Linked DNA regions of Arabidopsis thaliana. The protein of the gene in region 1 purifies or fractionates together with the protein of each later gene. This does not show direct contact. Each region holds a gene or a part of one and is shown on either strand. Other genes may lie near its edges.

The links. Proteins that work in one complex are often made in the same cells at the same time.
Region 2: the proteins of ICK6 (region 1) and RPT6A purify together in Arabidopsis thaliana (affinity purification with mass spectrometry, with the first as the bait; one large-scale study listed by BioGRID). This does not show direct contact.

The regions. Positions count from the first base shown.
Region 1 is NC_003076.8:19,789,732-19,797,859, reverse strand, and holds ICK6 (inhibitor/interactor with cyclin-dependent kinase), read left to right. Parts: upstream 1-3,451; 5' UTR 3,452-3,513; coding exon 3,514-3,944; intron 3,945-4,126; coding exon 4,127-4,153; intron 4,154-4,909; coding exon 4,910-5,104; intron 5,105-5,182; coding exon 5,183-5,252; 3' UTR 5,253-5,590; downstream 5,591-8,128. Other genes in the region: CB5-D (cytochrome B5), read left to right, coding at 7,680-7,766. UniProt on the Arabidopsis thaliana protein: Binds and inhibits CYCD2-1/CDKA-1 complex kinase activity. May target specifically CDKA-1.
Region 2 is NC_003076.8:6,748,852-6,757,587, forward strand, and holds RPT6A (regulatory particle triple-A ATPase 6A), read left to right. Parts: upstream 1-2,946; 5' UTR 2,947-3,109; exon of another isoform or gene 3,110-3,252; 5' UTR 3,253-3,292; coding exon 3,293-3,494; exon of another isoform or gene 3,495-3,892; coding exon of another isoform or gene 3,893-3,920; intron 3,921-4,002; coding exon 4,003-4,100; intron 4,101-4,177; coding exon 4,178-4,402; intron 4,403-4,517; coding exon 4,518-4,580; intron 4,581-4,664; coding exon 4,665-4,828; intron 4,829-5,168; coding exon 5,169-5,325; intron 5,326-5,436; coding exon 5,437-5,535; intron 5,536-5,732; coding exon 5,733-5,843; intron 5,844-5,926; coding exon 5,927-6,067; 3' UTR 6,068-6,442; downstream 6,443-8,736. Other genes in the region: GONST4 (golgi nucleotide sugar transporter 4), read right to left, coding at 1,056-2,081; AT5G20000 (AAA-type ATPase family protein), read left to right, coding at 8,064-8,265, 8,649-8,736. UniProt on the Arabidopsis thaliana protein: The 26S proteasome is involved in the ATP-dependent degradation of ubiquitinated proteins. The regulatory (or ATPase) complex confers ATP dependency and substrate specificity to the 26S complex.

The DNA of each region.
Region 1 (8,128 bases):
TGTAATTTAGAGTCACTTGTCAAAGCTACACTTGATCATGATTTCTTAGTAGAACATGACAATTGTTGTTGTGCTAATGTTTTAAATTGGTTTTAGATGATTAAAGATGAATTACTCATCTGACATATAGTTTTTAGTTTCTGGTTTTGTTTCTATTGCTAAGTTCCGTGGAAACAAATACTCTAGATTTTACAAATACCCTCCTTGTTGCCGTGTGTCACTTTCGGACTATGTACTCGAAACACTAAGCATCAGGTTGGATATTTCCAAGTTGACTGATCCATTGTGAAGGAGTTACTAATCTCTAAGCCGTTCCTTTAGAAAATTCTTCCCAACCCTTTTCCACTCGAATTCTCATGTGTTTTTCGTAGAAAAAATTATATCCACTTTGTACCATCTGTTCCCAACAAAATTACCGTCAAATCTTTTTCAGGGTCTTCACCATTGCCATTCATGAGAGAAACTGACATGAATTAATCTAGGATGATAACTTTTTTTGGAAAAGATGGTACATAGATGACACATCTTCTACGAAAATGCACTGGAAAGAATGAGTTTGGGAGCACATAGTTTAAAGATTGGTTAATTTTCACGTTGGAGTCAATTTGGAAAAATGTAATTCCTAAGCTCAGTTTTTCTAGTACAATATCCAAAAGTGATACAAAGGCAGCACGAAGAGTATCAAAAGCTAGAGAGAAAGATTATATTTTCACTAAACCTACCAGTTTTCGAAATAAAACCAAGAAACAAAATTAACATCAATGATATGATACGCTTTCTAATAATGGTCTCCTAATGTGTTGTAAGTGGGATATATTGAAAGAATTAAAGTTCATATAAGATACATATGCTCTTGGACATATATATGATGCAGTTTAGACATAGTTTATAATTGAAAGTGAAATACAAGAAATCCTCATTAGATAGTTTATGAAATATATTGAACTTTGTAAAAATAGTAAACAAAAATAAATCTAAATTTTTATTTATTTTGTATTTGAAATAAAACCCAAAAAGAAGATCTTTTCATGAAAGAGAAAAAAAGAAGTAAAATTGGTTGTAAATTTATTTCTGAATAGAAAAAAAAAAGAAATTGTGCCACGCAAAACCTTAATGCTTGAGCTTAATAAAATGAACCTTAATGCTTGAGCTTAATAAAATGAACCTTAATGCTTGAGCTTAATAATTGGGGATTATGTGGTTAATAGTATGGACCAGGAATCTTAGTCAGCAAACACTATATGGATTTTCTAATTATCTTAAATGGAAGTAGTAATTTATTTGTTTTTGTTTTTTAACATAGGAAATTTTGAAATATTTAGGTCCAAATTCGTGGTTTCCAAATATCTACACTTCAGATATCCAAATTTGTGGTTTAATATATATGTATATCCAAACTAAATTTAATTACAAAAAAAAAGTGGAATTTTAATATTTAGTTTGCCATTAAAAGATTTTAGATACAGTATATGGATTTTTGAGAGGCATGGCACTATTATTCGGAATCATAGATCCAATCCGGAATTCTTTCCGATCCGATCCAGAAAACCGGATATCCAAGATAGGTGAATCCAGATCCAGAGAATGAATTTACGGATACGTATAATCCGAATTATAATTTGATTTTAATTTATAATGGTGGGATACATACCTTCATCTTTGTTGCCTCGTTCCAGCTTGCATTTCTCCGTAGTAACATGTTGCAGATGATTCCTTCCTAAAGGTTTTGATTGGTATTTTATATTTCGCGCGGCCCAATTGTCACATACATTTTGATTATATCCGCATAATAAATGTTGTTAGCAAACAAATGAGGATTAATATTGAAAATTGTCCCTAGATCAAAAATTTATTACTGAAATCATACCTTTCTTTGCATATACCACATAAAATGCCAATGAATCAAAATTCATCACAAGAAGCAATCATCACTAGTAGCTGATGTGTATATGTAGACGTCTCTTTAGGGTTTTTACAACAATCTCCATGGAATTTTCGATCAACATGTTTTATTAAATCATATTGATTTTTTATTATTTTATGTTTTAAGGTAAATAAGAAATTGTTTATTTTCTTCTTTGTAAACTATTGTCGGATCATATATTTATGTGATGTAGAAGCCATGTTATCGTGTACAATGCGTGTTAAAACTTAAAATTGTGAAACTTTTGTATGTAATAATGATTGATTGACTAATTGATTTTAAAAGATAGAAAATATATAAATTATGGGTCCACATGGTAATTTTATAAAGAAAAAATCCCGGATTTTTTCTATTTAATCGAGAAATATAGATAATGATATACAAAAATTGGTGATTTTTTGTGAAATGTCAGTTGACTAGAAATTTGAAACAATTCTTATCAATGTATTTTTAAAAATATCATGTTTAATATGTAAGTTTAATATTCATTAGTGTGCATAATGTAAGAATAATTACTAATTTACATAAATATTTTCTCTTATATGTGAAAGTATTTAACTACTGATTTATTGATATACAATGAAAAAGTATGGGCTATTAACTTTATATGATTTCAATAATTTTTATGATTAATATATTTGATAAAAATGATAAATAATAAATCATTATTTTAAAAGAAACATGTATATCCAACAAAAAAAGCCGTGTGTAATACGCGTTGGTTCAAAGGGTAATTTAACTATGGAAAATAGTCCTAGATTTATTTTTGTTAAATTGAGAAATAAAAATCATTATATACCAAAATTGTAAACTTAGCAATTTTTTGGTGCAATTTCCGTTGACTCGATTTTTTGGAAAAAGTCTGTCAATTTCAAAGAAAAAATATTATGTTTAAATACTTAAGTTGAATATTTATTCGTGTGCATAATAATAATTTATTTTTCGTATAAACATTTTTTATTCTATGTGAATGTATGTAACTAGTTGTTTGTTGTTACATGTTAAAAGTATGTACTATTAAGTTTATATGGTTTCAATAAAAAAAATTCAATACTTTTTATGATGAAATTATTTGATAAAATTTAAATAAATGAAAATTGTTTTTTTAACAACAAACCGATCATATTAATGAGAATTTATTTTAAAATAGAAAAGCCGTATGCAATACACGTTATATTTAATAGAAAATTCGTAGTCAAATGATGAATTTAATTAGCAGTTTAATTTTTAAGAAGTTAAAGATTTAGTCAAATGATGAATTTAAATTTATTCGACAACAAAAATTATCAATAAATCAAAAATGTAAAACTGACGATTATTCTATGAAAAGTGAAAACACAACGGAAAATACAAATAATAATGATGAGTTTGGGGTTTTATTTAAAAATAATAATAATAATAATATTGTTTTTGACAATTAGATAAAAAAGGTAAACTTTTTTTTTCTTCTCCTTTGTTTTATTTTAACCCCACAAAACTCGAAAACCTTTTTCCCATTTTCTCACTTTCCCTCTTCTTCTCCTCCCTCAAAGCTTTTCCCTCTCATTTTTCTCTTTCCGCTTTCAAGCTTCTTTTCCCTCTCTCAAAAAATGGGGAAATACATGAAGAAATCAAAGATAACTGGCGATATCAGCGTCATGGAAGTCTCTAAAGCAACAGCTCCAAGTCCAGGTGTTCGAACCAGAGCCGCTAAAACCCTAGCCTTGAAGCGGCTTAATTCCTCCGCCGCTGATTCAGCTCTACCTAACGACTCTTCTTGCTATCTTCAGCTCCGTAGCCGCCGTCTCGAGAAACCCTCTTCGCTGATTGAACCGAAACAGCCGCCGAGAGTTCACAGATCGGGAATTAAAGAGTCTGGTTCCAGGTCTCGCGTTGACTCGGTTAACTCGGTTCCTGTAGCTCAGAGCTCTAATGAAGATGAATGTTTTGACAATTTCGTGAGTGTCCAAGTTTCTTGTGGTGAAAACAGTCTCGGTTTTGAATCAAGACACAGGTTCGTTGTTTTTTTTTTTTTTTTTTTGTGCCCTAATGTTTTCTTATTACCAATTCGACTTTTGTGTTCTGTCTTATCCAATAATCTTAGTTTTGAGTCTTACATAGTTTTGAATCTTAGTTAGGTTTCTCTGAAACTTTTGTTGTTTGCTTCAAATCAATTTTTTTTTTTTTGGGGGATGAAAATAGTTTAGTACAAGAGAAAAATAGGTTTTTTATGTTTCCCTTATTGGTTTGGTTTTTGTTTATGAATTGACTCTCTTGTGATGTACTGAATTTTGTTATTACTACTTCTCCGTATAAGTCTCTTTTGGTGTTAGATTTACATTATATCTGATTTATTGCTGTATGTCCCATGTGTACTTCATTGCAGAGATTATCAATGAATGTGTCAAAGCTATTTTCGTTTTATATATGTATTTCATTATTTGTTACAAATTTGGTGAAACTCTGATCTGTTTTTGTGTATTTTAATTTGTTTAAGAACATGTTGATTCTCCTTGTTATTAGGCTAATGGCATAAGAAGTATTTGTACATTGGGTATACAATATTGGGATTTGGTTATTGGGGGTTTACTTAAACACATGGTTTTCGTTTTTACAAAAGTGGGTTGTTGTATAAAGGTCAGAAACTTTTAATATGTAAGATTATATGAGAATTGGGACTTTCCTCATAAGTGTAATGCAAGTACTGTGGTGTCATGTTCATGGGACCTAGTGGTTTTTGCATACTTGGGGAATACTTTTGTAGGATCCTCTGTTTTTTGGGGTAACCGTCCTGCTGCTAGTTGACAATGTGGTGATTGCCTTCTCTTTGTTATTTATTATCTTATGGGACCATATTACTTAGAAAGTCTCTAGCTTTTGTTGTTTACTTAAACCAAGCCTCTTTTTTATTCTGGATGTTTGGTTTTGGTTTGATTCTTGATTTGGTTAAGTGTCTTTGTGGTGATAATGTTATTGAAGTTATTTTATCTGTGTTTTTTTCTGCAGCACAAGGGAGAGCACGCCTTGTAACTTTGTTGAGGATATGGAGATCATGGTTACACCAGGGTCTAGCACGAGGTCGATGTGCAGAGCAACCAAAGAGTACACAAGGGAACAAGATAACGTGATCCCGACCACTAGTGAAATGGAGGAGTTCTTTGCATATGCAGAGCAGCAGCAACAGAGGCTATTCATGGAGAAGTAAGCTTATTCTTTATTTTATTTTTGTGTCATTACGAAGAGGGTGAACAACACTCATGTGTTTTCAATAATCTTCAGGTACAACTTCGACATTGTGAATGATATCCCCCTCAGCGGACGTTACGAATGGGTGCAAGTCAAACCATGAAGTTCAAAAGGAAACAGCTCCAAAAGACATGGTGTGAAGTTAGAGAATGTGATGGAGTTAACAGACTAACCAAACATCAGAAATCGTGTAATCTTAAGTAATAATGTGGTTAGAGAACAAGTTTGAGAGTAGCTTAGGGACCTTAAAACCTCACACCATTTGTACTACTAATCTTCTTCAGATGCTTAGTGAAATTTTCTCATCTGTTTCTTTCAAGTGTTTGTTTTTCTATCTATCTCTCATGTTTATTCAAAGCTATATGTAATGATGATGATTGAGAGGGATGTGTGTGAACATGTTTAAGCTTGGCATATAGTGAAAAAAATGATTCAGATGCAGAAGAAAGAGACCCAATTGAGAGGTTCACGTGTGAATTTTGGTAGGTGTAAAAATCTGAATCATATCCTTTTTCTTTCAACTATACAAGATTGGTCCCTTTTCTTCTCTTACCATAATTATGACGCACGTGAATGTGTGTGTAAATACTTTGACGTTTACATTGAAATACTGTAATGTAAGTTCAGAGTTAAAAGTACAAACACAAAGGTGAATTTTGTACTAATTAGTAAAGAGATAAGAGTGTTTTGAATCTTGAATATCAAATTATTATTAACAAGAAACTGACAAAAAGATGAGACAGTGTTCATTGAGAAGATCTCTGTTGTTTTATCTTTTTTTTTACATTTCTTGGAAATTGGCAAAACCAGTGTGATGAAACTGTGAAATCTTATCTCGAACCCAATCATTGTTCTATGTTTTTCTTTAATCTCTAAAAGTGAAAAAGTGAATGCATGAAACGTTCAGATACATTCATTATATTATACATTTATACATATGGACATGGTGTACGTATGTACACGGGTGCTTGTTTGATCACGGGCTCACTGACTATAAAAATCATGTTTTTTGGGACATATAGATTCGCTTACATCAACTGTGTGACCAATGGGGTATCTGAATTCAGCTTGTTCGATGTTTTGTTTGACTCTTTTAAACTATTTGGTAGTAAAAAGCCAAAAAGGAAGAGCACTGATTACGAAAGCCTTTTTGTCTTTTTGTTTCTTCTTCTCTAGCTCTCTTTCGTTCTCCTTTTGGGTTAGTCCTTCAAAATAAATGTCTTTAACTTGTCATGTATAGTTTCTTTCTCTCGTTGAACACCAACCATAGGCCTTGCAATGTGAGTCAAAACATGCATTGAAAAAAGAAGTGAATTTCAACATTAAATGCTCTCGTTTAACATGCCTATGGTTCCATTAAGCAAAGTACACACTCTATATATGTCGAAAGAACTATACAGTCGGTGTTTTAGCCCTATAGTTAGATACATTCGAACTGATTACAGAAATATCAAATATCCAGTTCTAAGATCGGATTAAGGCAAATACATTTAAACTACTTCTAGCGAATGAGGTTCACATAGAAAAACTTTTTAAAATGAATCACTAAACAAGATTCATTTTCTTTCTAAATAGTGTAAAGACGAGTGATGCATGCAACTGCTCTCCTTTCCGTTGGTCCCTTGTCAAAATATACGACCGTGAATAATTCTTCCCATCATATTTATCTGTCGGAGAGTTCCAACCTCAAAACATTCTCCTTCTCTTATCAATTCTTTCTAAAATCATAAACCAACAAACTGGGCCTATGATCAATTATTCATATTCAATTTAGCCTATAACTAAAACCACACTGCTTTCGTTACACTGGCCTTCCGACAAGTCTCTTTGACTGTTTTTATCTTAAGCGCCATCAAGTTTTAAAGAAGACAACCCCATATCTTTCCTCCCATGAATCATCGTGTCCATATTGCTATAGTTCATGAAAAAACTAAATACTATCGACAACTGAAGAAAAGATCCGGATCTTGTGGACCGAGTGAATGGTTGGGCCCAATTAGAATGGTCTACCCTAACATCTAGCCGTCTACACGATTGATCATACGTCTAAGAGGGCGAAACCACCAAACGTTTGGATTTTATCTAAATTGATGTACATAAAGCTAACATGATTTTAGTATAAACATTATAAGCATCATGGAAATCAATAAGCTAACATGATTTTAGTAGAAACATTATCAGCTAACATGAATTACTAAAAACATTTATTTTATTTTAAGGAAAAACATACAATACTAAGATTTTTTATAACATTTTTTCTTTGTAACATTATAAATTGTTTTAGTTTCTACATTAATTAAATATATAAAATAAATTCATTTAAATAATATAAGAAAACGGAATCTTTGATTAACTGCTGATTATTGGCCACTGATTAATTTCCGACCCCATCAATAGATGAGATCAGACATACACAACTTAAGTAGACCAAAAAAGCGGTTGGTGTAAGATCCCAAACTCACAGATTCCCAAATAATAGTAATACTCTTCCTCTTCTCAACTCTCACCAGTCACCAGCAGATCATCGGAGATGGGCGGAGACGGAAAAGTTTTCACCTTGTCCGAGGTTTCTCAGCACAGTAGCGCCAAGGATTGTTGGATCGTCATCGACGGCAAGGTCCTACATCTCCGATCCCAGTTTCTCATTCGATTTTCCGTTTTCCCTTAGATTTTGCATCTTATCTTCGTGAGATCCGAAATTCTTGAGTTGTGTTGACTTGGATTTATAAATCTAGAGTTATGTAGTAACAAGTTTGGGGATAGATCTGATCTGATTTGCTAGATTAATGTTACTTTTCTAAGTCTAAATCACAGAGAAATTGCTAAAAACTTACGTCTTTATAATTGAATGTGATAGTTGGTGCTGCTTAAGATGTCTCTGTGTGATCTTGTATCTGTAGTTAAAGCTAGTAAGGTTCATGTAGTTCATGTATGTTCTGATGTATGAACTTTTGATAACCCACTTAATCTAGGTCTCTG
Region 2 (8,736 bases), about 13 Mb from region 1:
AAAGTGTTTTTTTTATGTATTTTTTCAGGTGTATGGATCAACCTCATATATACCTCAAAATAAGATCTTTTTAGCTAAAACTCAGAATGTTCTGATGGTTGAAGCAATGTCATTCTAAAGAAACAAACAAAACTTGTGAACCAGCGTTGTTGTGCACAAAGATGGAGATCCAGTCAGATTGCGTCCAACACACGACCTCAACCTTTCTTTAGTAAAGAGTCTTTTACGCTGGCCACGTGGATCTGATACACATTGGTCTTGCGTGTAAGTCACTAGGATAGGTTTGCACTAATAAAGTGCACAAACTTATGCCAAGTTCACGCAGCCTATAGGTCAAATTGTAAATATGATATGATGAAAACATACTATTTCGCCTAAGTCTCATTTTTCTGAGTTTGGCATGTGTGCTCGTTCTCAACACAAGCAACTCTAGTGGGTATAAAAGACATCTTTAAAAGCTAGCTTGAGAGGAGAGGATGCTCTTTGAACTTATAAGATAGCAAAAAGGTTGGCCAATTTAAGAGTGTCATAATTTTTCAAAGCGTATCTGCTTTGAGCTAGGTATGTATGATTAGGTTTTGTGGTGATTTCATAGCTTAAAAGTCGATGAAAGGGTTACAACTATAGAATGCCGTGACACATTCAAATGCTCTAAATCAAACAAAAAATCAATACATACCTGGCTCAACTGTCTCGACAGTTATGTTTCAACTGAATGGATTTAGTAAACTGACAAAATTGTAAGACTACAACTACTAATAGGCACACAGAACAATCCATTCCTGCTACTGTTCTTTCACATTTGCATTATACAACACAACAAAATCTTTTGTGCATCACTAAAATCTTGTAACACAGAGAACAGAAATTGATTTTGTATAAATGGATATGAGGATAATGTGAAACAGGGTTTTACAAAATTTAATACTATAGAGGCCAGAAACCAGAAAAAGGTATTCACTTTTACTAGAAACCTCGTTAAAATGTAAAAAAGGCTAAGATATTCAAAAGGTTACACACCTGAAAAGGCAGGCTGCAAAACAATGACACTTCTCTCATACAACAGAAGCTAGTTTCCCCGGAACCAACTGCGTCAACTCCTCATCTTCCTCTCCCTTCTCGCTATCTTTCTCGCTGACCTTCTCAATGGGTTTATCCAATTTGACACTCTGCTGATAACCAACACCTCCACAGATAGTAAAAAGAAGACAAACCAAACCAACAGGAGTGGCATGCTTATCCCAAATCAAAACATTGATGACAACAGTCAAGAACTTGTTAACAACACCAGTGACTGTAAAAGCAGTAGCAGAGATAGCATTCCTAGCAGCAAATCCAAAGTAACTGATAAGGAAACCAAACACACACGACGCAGCCACAGAAGAAAACGCATAAGGCTCAAACAAATTCCCTCTATTCTCACTCAACGCCGCGAAAACCTCGGTGAATTCTCCAGTAAGAAACCAGAACACCGGTGCTATCATCAGAGACAGTAGATTATTGTAGAGAACCAATCCCCAAATGTTCAATTTAATATTAGAGACCATATGCTTAATGTAAACCATTTCAGTAGTAATGGTAACAAGATAAGCCAAAGCCCATGAATAAGCCGTTAGAGTAAAAGACGAGTCAGTTGCAACATACCCAACAGCTCCAGCGAGGATAACGACGAGAGACAAAAACGTAAGTCTCGAAGGTAAAGGCTGACTACGAAACACAGTATCAGCGATCGCGACTAAGAGCGGTGTTAGAGATCGGAAGACGATGAAAGTATCGACATTAGCGTGACGGAGGAGGTTTGTGTTTGTGAAGATAGCGAGGTAGAAGACGATAGCTGCAGGGAGAAATTTCTTAGCAGTGTCCCATGTGAATGGATCGTGATTGATTAACCCTGATTTGCCGAGAAGATAGACGGCGACGGTGCAGGTTAGGTATTGAAGAGCTGTGAGGAGACCTGGGTAGTTGAAGTATGTGATTGCTAATTTGTTGATTACGGCGAGGAGGCTTGAGCAGAGTGCGTAGCCGATTACGAGACTGCTTGTTGTTAATTGTTTGTTTGAATCGAATCGAGAGGACGACATTGTTTTGGTTTTTGGTGGAGGTTTTTGGGAGATCCAGATCGGTGAAGATGAAGAAGAGAGGATTTGGGATCTGGATCGGATTATTCAGAGACTAATTAGAGGAAGGCGACGACTTCTCTCGTCAGTGTCTTATCGTACGGGACAATTTTGTTAGTAATCTTTTTAGTCACTTTGAGTTTAATTGTGGTGTTAATTTTGGTCAACTCACCATTAATGGAAGAATATTAAACATATTGATTTTGTCTGTGTGTATGTAGAGAATTTTTGTTTGTTTGTAGAGAAATTATTGTGTATTTTGGACATAAACTAGTCAATGCACTAATTAAGCAAATAATTGAGATTGCATGTAGTCATTGTTGAGATTCACTCTCTTTTAGATTAACGATATGTGCTGAACCAACGCTTAAATAAACATAATAAATCTAAAATTGTTGTCATCTGGCTGTACAACACAAAGCTGTACAAAATTTTAGATTAACGGATCTGATTGTTTACAATAAGTCGTATAAAAAATTTAGGTGTACGTTTTTTCGGAATATTATAAAGCTGTAAAAAAGAACGGTACGAGAAAACCTTACAATAAAAGTGAGAGTAAAACTTTTTGTAACACTTTTGATAATCTTTTTGTGTTTTGTATAAAAAAAAGCTATACAAATTGTAATACTTTGTTTTTATTCACCAATCAAAGTCGTTGATGTTGAAACATGTTGTTGAGACATCATGCATCAACTACACTAAAATGTTATTCAAATCTTTGATCTAGTAATAAAACATGTTTATGATGTGTATTAAAGTAAGATTTAAACGAAAAAGAAGAAGTTATTAATCCGAATGTTTCAAAGTTTCAACTATCTCCCTCGACAACTCTCTTCTTACTCGATAAGGTGAAACTTAAATTACTAACAAGCAGAACGTTTTATCTCTAAGATGGTTCCAACGGCTTATTAGCCACCAGCTAGAGTAAGCCTGAGAAAACGTAGACTCGAGGAAGGACTCTAAACGAACTAGAAGGTTAAGACAAGCAAAAAGTAAAATAAAAATATTTCTATTGTTGAGTTAATTTCCTTTTTATTAATTTAGGTGATATCATATAATGCTTCGCGTGAGGGTTTCTGAGATTCTGATCGACGAAAACTAATCTCTCTCCTTTTTCTTCTCATCTCCTTACTAGAGATCTCTGTCTTCGATAATTTGTTTCAATCACTGAGAAAATGGCGGCCGTAGGAGTAGATTCGAGGCGTCCTGAGACAGCGATGGAGGAAACCTGTAACGTGAAAGGAGCGGCGGCGAAACAAGGGGAAGGGCTTAAGCAGTACTATCTCCAGCACATCCATGAGCTCCAGCGCCAGCTTCGACAGAAGACTAATAACCTCAATCGCCTTGAAGCTCAAAGGAATGAACTCAATTCTCGAGGTCTCTTCTTCCTTCTCTTACCCTAATTCTCTGCAAAATTGGATCTTTTTTATCATCTCCTTGTGTTTCGTAATCTCAGATTCTGTGCTAGGGCTTTCGATTTCGTTCCAATTGGAGCTGAGTGATTTCAAATTTCAAAATTGTTGTGGTGATTTAGTGTTTCCGATCTGGAAGTGATTAGTCTTGATTTTAGCAACATTAACTTGTTTAGATTTCTAGATTCTGTCTTCTTGTTGGTTCTTTTGCAAAGTATGTGGCTTTTTTCAGGAAAGCCTAGTTATTTCTTCACTATCTTCATTGAGGAATATATACTTTTGGAAGGAGCCCATATAGTCCTTTCCACTATACCATGATTTTAGTTACACATTTAAAGTTATAGAACAGCTTCTGTTGTCATCATGATCACCATCCTATTTATGCATGAAGGTTTTCTTACTAGTCTTTATAATTTGTAGTTAGTTCTAAATCTCAAACCTCGTTAACACTAAAATTATTTCTAATTGAACAGTGAGAATGCTCAGAGAAGAGTTACAGCTCCTTCAAGAACCTGGGTCCTATGTGGGAGAAGTGGTAAAAGTTATGGGAAAGAACAAGGTCTTGGTTAAGGTATGAATCTTTTTTATTATCATGTTTGTATTTCTACGAACATAGTTGTCAGTAAGGCTTACACTCCCATTTTCCAGGTTCATCCAGAGGGGAAGTATGTTGTTGATATTGACAAAAGTATAGACATTACGAAAATCACTCCATCAACGAGAGTTGCTCTTCGTAATGATAGCTATGTTCTCCACCTGGTTCTGCCAAGTAAAGTAGATCCCTTGGTTAACCTTATGAAAGTTGAGAAGGTTCCAGACTCCACCTATGACATGATTGGTGGTCTTGACCAGCAGATTAAGGAAATAAAGGAGGTATGCTTAGTGAATGAGAAACCGAAACTAAAAGTCACTACAGTATTGGCTATCTCCTCTGTTGTTTCATCCTTTTAATGTTTATATAATATCTATATCTTTTCTGGTTTATCAGGTCATTGAGCTGCCAATCAAGCATCCTGAATTGTTTGAGTCTCTTGGAATTGCGCAGCCAAAGGTACACTTGAATCTTAAACCTTCTTCTCCATATTGTGATGATGCTAAGTGGATTAGACGTAATCTCATCTCTCTGTCTTTCTAGGGTGTGTTGTTATACGGTCCACCTGGAACTGGGAAGACACTATTGGCTCGGGCTGTTGCACATCACACTGACTGTACTTTCATAAGAGTTTCTGGTTCCGAGCTTGTCCAGAAATACATTGGAGAAGGTTCTAGAATGGTCAGAGAACTTTTTGTGATGGCAAGGTTAGTATATGGTAGTCCCTATTTTAAATTTCAAGCATGGTAATAGTGGTTGATAGGAAAATATGGAACTGTTGATAAGATAACATCTTTTAACATGTCCGCCATTAGTTGCTATAAAATGGACATGAGCTGTTAAGTTAAATGGGGAAAGTGTTCTTTGTTGCTACAATGAATATGGTTCCGTTGTGAATGAATATCGTTCTATAAAGTATTCTTTGTCATAGTGCTTAGCATTTAGGCCACAGTGCCAAGTCTCATGTAAGGAGCAAATTACAAATAGGTGAGATGATTCGTTGAAAATACTCTTTCCAGTTGGCTTACACCGGTTTATGGTTTTCAGGGAGCATGCACCATCAATCATCTTCATGGATGAAATCGATAGTATTGGGTCTGCTCGTATGGAATCTGGAAGTGGAAATGGTGACAGTGAGGTGCAACGGACCATGCTCGAGCTTCTCAATCAACTTGACGGTTTTGAAGCGTCAAACAAAATCAAGGTACCTATTAAGTTGTAAAGGAAAAAAAACCATAAGTTGAATAGGATGAGTCTGTGTTATTGTAGTCTGAAATTGCTGACAGAGTCATATTCTCTTTAATGACTGTTGCAGGTTTTGATGGCTACAAATCGTATTGATATTCTGGATCAAGCTCTTCTCAGGCCTGGAAGAATTGATAGGAAAATTGAATTTCCTAATCCTAATGAAGAGGTAATACTTGTGCTCTGAGAAAATGATATTGACTGTTGTTTTTGGTGATATGAATACATTATTCGTCAAAGTAGGCACCTTATTTAGTATTTAGACTATCATTTGCAGCATAAAAAACTTTTCTTTATCTCCATACTCATTTTACTCAAGTGAGGCAGGACGGTTTGGCTAATGTATGTTTCCAAAATGTGTTGCAGTCACGTTTTGACATCTTGAAGATTCACTCGAGGAAAATGAATTTGATGCGTGGAATCGATCTGAAAAAGATTGCAGAGAAGATGAATGGCGCTTCAGGTGCTGAGCTGAAGGTAAAGTGTTTTCTATTTCTCTACTTCTATCTTGTTCTCTCTACATTTTGCCTCTCTCTTATGTTTTTGGTTAATACGGTCAGGCTGTGTGCACGGAGGCGGGAATGTTTGCTCTGCGTGAGAGGAGAGTACACGTGACACAAGAAGACTTTGAGATGGCGGTGGCCAAGGTAATGAAGAAAGACACGGAGAAGAACATGTCTCTGCGTAAGCTGTGGAAGTAGGAATCTCTCATGGAAAGACTTTCTTTACTTTACTGTTTGTTGTTTGATTCTGAAACCTTTTTTCGGTTGTCTCATGAAAACATTTTAGAACAAAGTTTTTACTATCTAGACACGAGTTTATCTAGTATGCGATTTGAGGTCAATGGAAGGAAATTCCCAAAACTCAAGAACCTGAGCTTATAAGACCAAAACAAGCAGAACCTTCACATGTTAAGAGTTCTTCTGTCCGAAACTGTCATATTCCATTAGAGAGAAAAAGCCTATAATGTAAATGTTATGATAATTTATTTCAATTACAAATTTTACGCACGAATTTGGTTTATTCGGTATGGTTTAGCTCGGTTACCAAAGTTTTGGTGTATGCTTAAGTTGTGGTTTTGGACTTTTTGTATTGCAGACTTATAAAATAACAAAACCAAGCGGTTTATAAATTTTGTTAATTTTGGGTTGGTTCCGTCATTCCATTTTTTATTTTTCTCCCAAATAAAAAATCATATGAAATTAAACTTAAAAAGAGCAAGATCTTTAATACAAGATCTTTAATACAAGTTTAGCAAAAAAAAGATCTTTAATACAAATGATAACATAGTTACAAAATTATACAAAACATATGATATTAATGAATTATATAATACACAATAAGCAATGGAAAAGAAAAATACAATAGCTTATATCTTGTTCTCTGGACATTTTGCACCTTTCTTATGTTTCCAGTTATTACGTTTAAACTTTGTGCACAGAAACGAAAATATTTGATATGCGTGAGAGGAGAGTACACGTGACATAAGAATACTGAGATGGCGGTGGCGAAAGTAACGAAAAACACACACAAAGAAGAACAAGCCTCTGAGTAAGTTCTGGAAGTAGGAATCTCTTTGTTATGTAATTCAAGTCAATGGAAAACCACATTTTCATTTCGGATATGACAAATTAGAGTTTCTTTACTTTGCTGTCGATTGCTGGTTTTGAAACCCTTTTTCGGTTGATTCATCAAACATTTTTAGATTAAGTTTTTATGACCTAAATATTTTTTTTTTATATCTAAATGTGTCTTTAAAACGAACACATGTTCAAAGTTTTTATGTCCAAATCAGTTATCATATTTGATTAGAGAGAAAAAAGCTATAAAGTTAATATTATTATAATTTAATTAATATGACTATTTTAGTAATAAAATCCTTCAACTAAAGATGAATCGTGAGAAAACCTATCAATTATTTATTTAGTGAAAAAACTCTAAACTTAAAATTTGTTAATGTAAATCCTCATCCATCTATATTGTCGTGAAAATTGGACGGATTACAATTAAAATAAAATGTAATATTTTTCACAAATTGAAAAATAATAAATATACACTTAAACAATAAAAATTGTAAATAAAAACAACAAAATGTTCTTATTTATACCGAATCTAAATTTTCTAATTTATTTAAGCTCTAAAATTTAGAAAGTGAAAAATGAGATTTTTATAAGGTTTGTGTGTTGTCGAAGTCGATTCATTTTAATTTGACCCTAACCCGTCTAATTTTTATTACTAAAAATGAAGAGAGAATTGTATTAACAGAATTTAAATTAAAGGGTATTTTTACAATCATCTTTAGTCGAGTGGTTTTATTACTAAAAACTTTTTTTTAAAATACAAATGTTTATGCAATAATATGGTTTATTCGGTGTGGTTTTAGTTGGGTTACCCAAAAAAGTTTTAATAATAGGCTTTAGTTGTGGTTTTGGTATTGCAGACATTAAAAATAACAAAACCAAGCGGTTTATAGACTCGGTTTATTTTGGGTCGTTCGTTTTCCATTTTATTCTCACAAAATAAAAAATAGTAAATTGAACTTACAAAAAAAAAAAAGATGTCTTGTTGGATAATCCAAGGTTCTTTTCTATATAAAGGTTCTTTGCTCATGATCTTAGTCCCTGTGATCTATCTTTGAATCTCAAAAGCATACTTGAGAGAGATCTGTTTCGATAATTTGCTTCAATCACCGTGTTAATGGCGGCCGTAGGAGTGGAGGCGAGACCTCCTGTGACAGCGATGGAGGAAACCTGCAACGTTAAGGGAGCGGCGGCGAAACAAGGAGAAGGGCTTAACAAGTACTACCTCCAGCATCTCGATGAGCTCCAGCGCCTGCAACGCGAAAAGTCGTATAACCTTAATCGTCTTGAAGCTCAGAGGAATGAACTCAATTCTCGAGGTCTCTTTTTCCTTCTCTAACTCTAATTTTCATTGAATTTCTTTGCAAAGTTGGATCTTTTGATCATCTTCTTAAGTTTAGTAATCTCGAATTCCATATTAGGACTTTAGATTTCGTCTGGGTGCTTTAAATTTATAAATTGTTGCGGTGATTGTTTGGATTGAGGGTTTCTGATCTTTTCCAGAACTGGATCTAAACTATGCTGCGCCTTGATTTTTAGCATCACTAAGTTACCCTATTGAGATTTCTTCTTGATTCTGTTTGTGTTGAGTATGAATCAGCTTCTGTCAATATTTGATTGTTTAGCAAAGTATGTAGTGATTGATACAATCGATGTATACTGCTGAACATTTTAAACCTTGTTGTCATTGTAAACTGAACAGTACGAATGCTCAGAGAAGAGTTACAGCTCCTTCAAGAACCTGGGTCCTATGTGGGTGAAGTGGTAAAAGTGATGGGAAAAAACAAGGT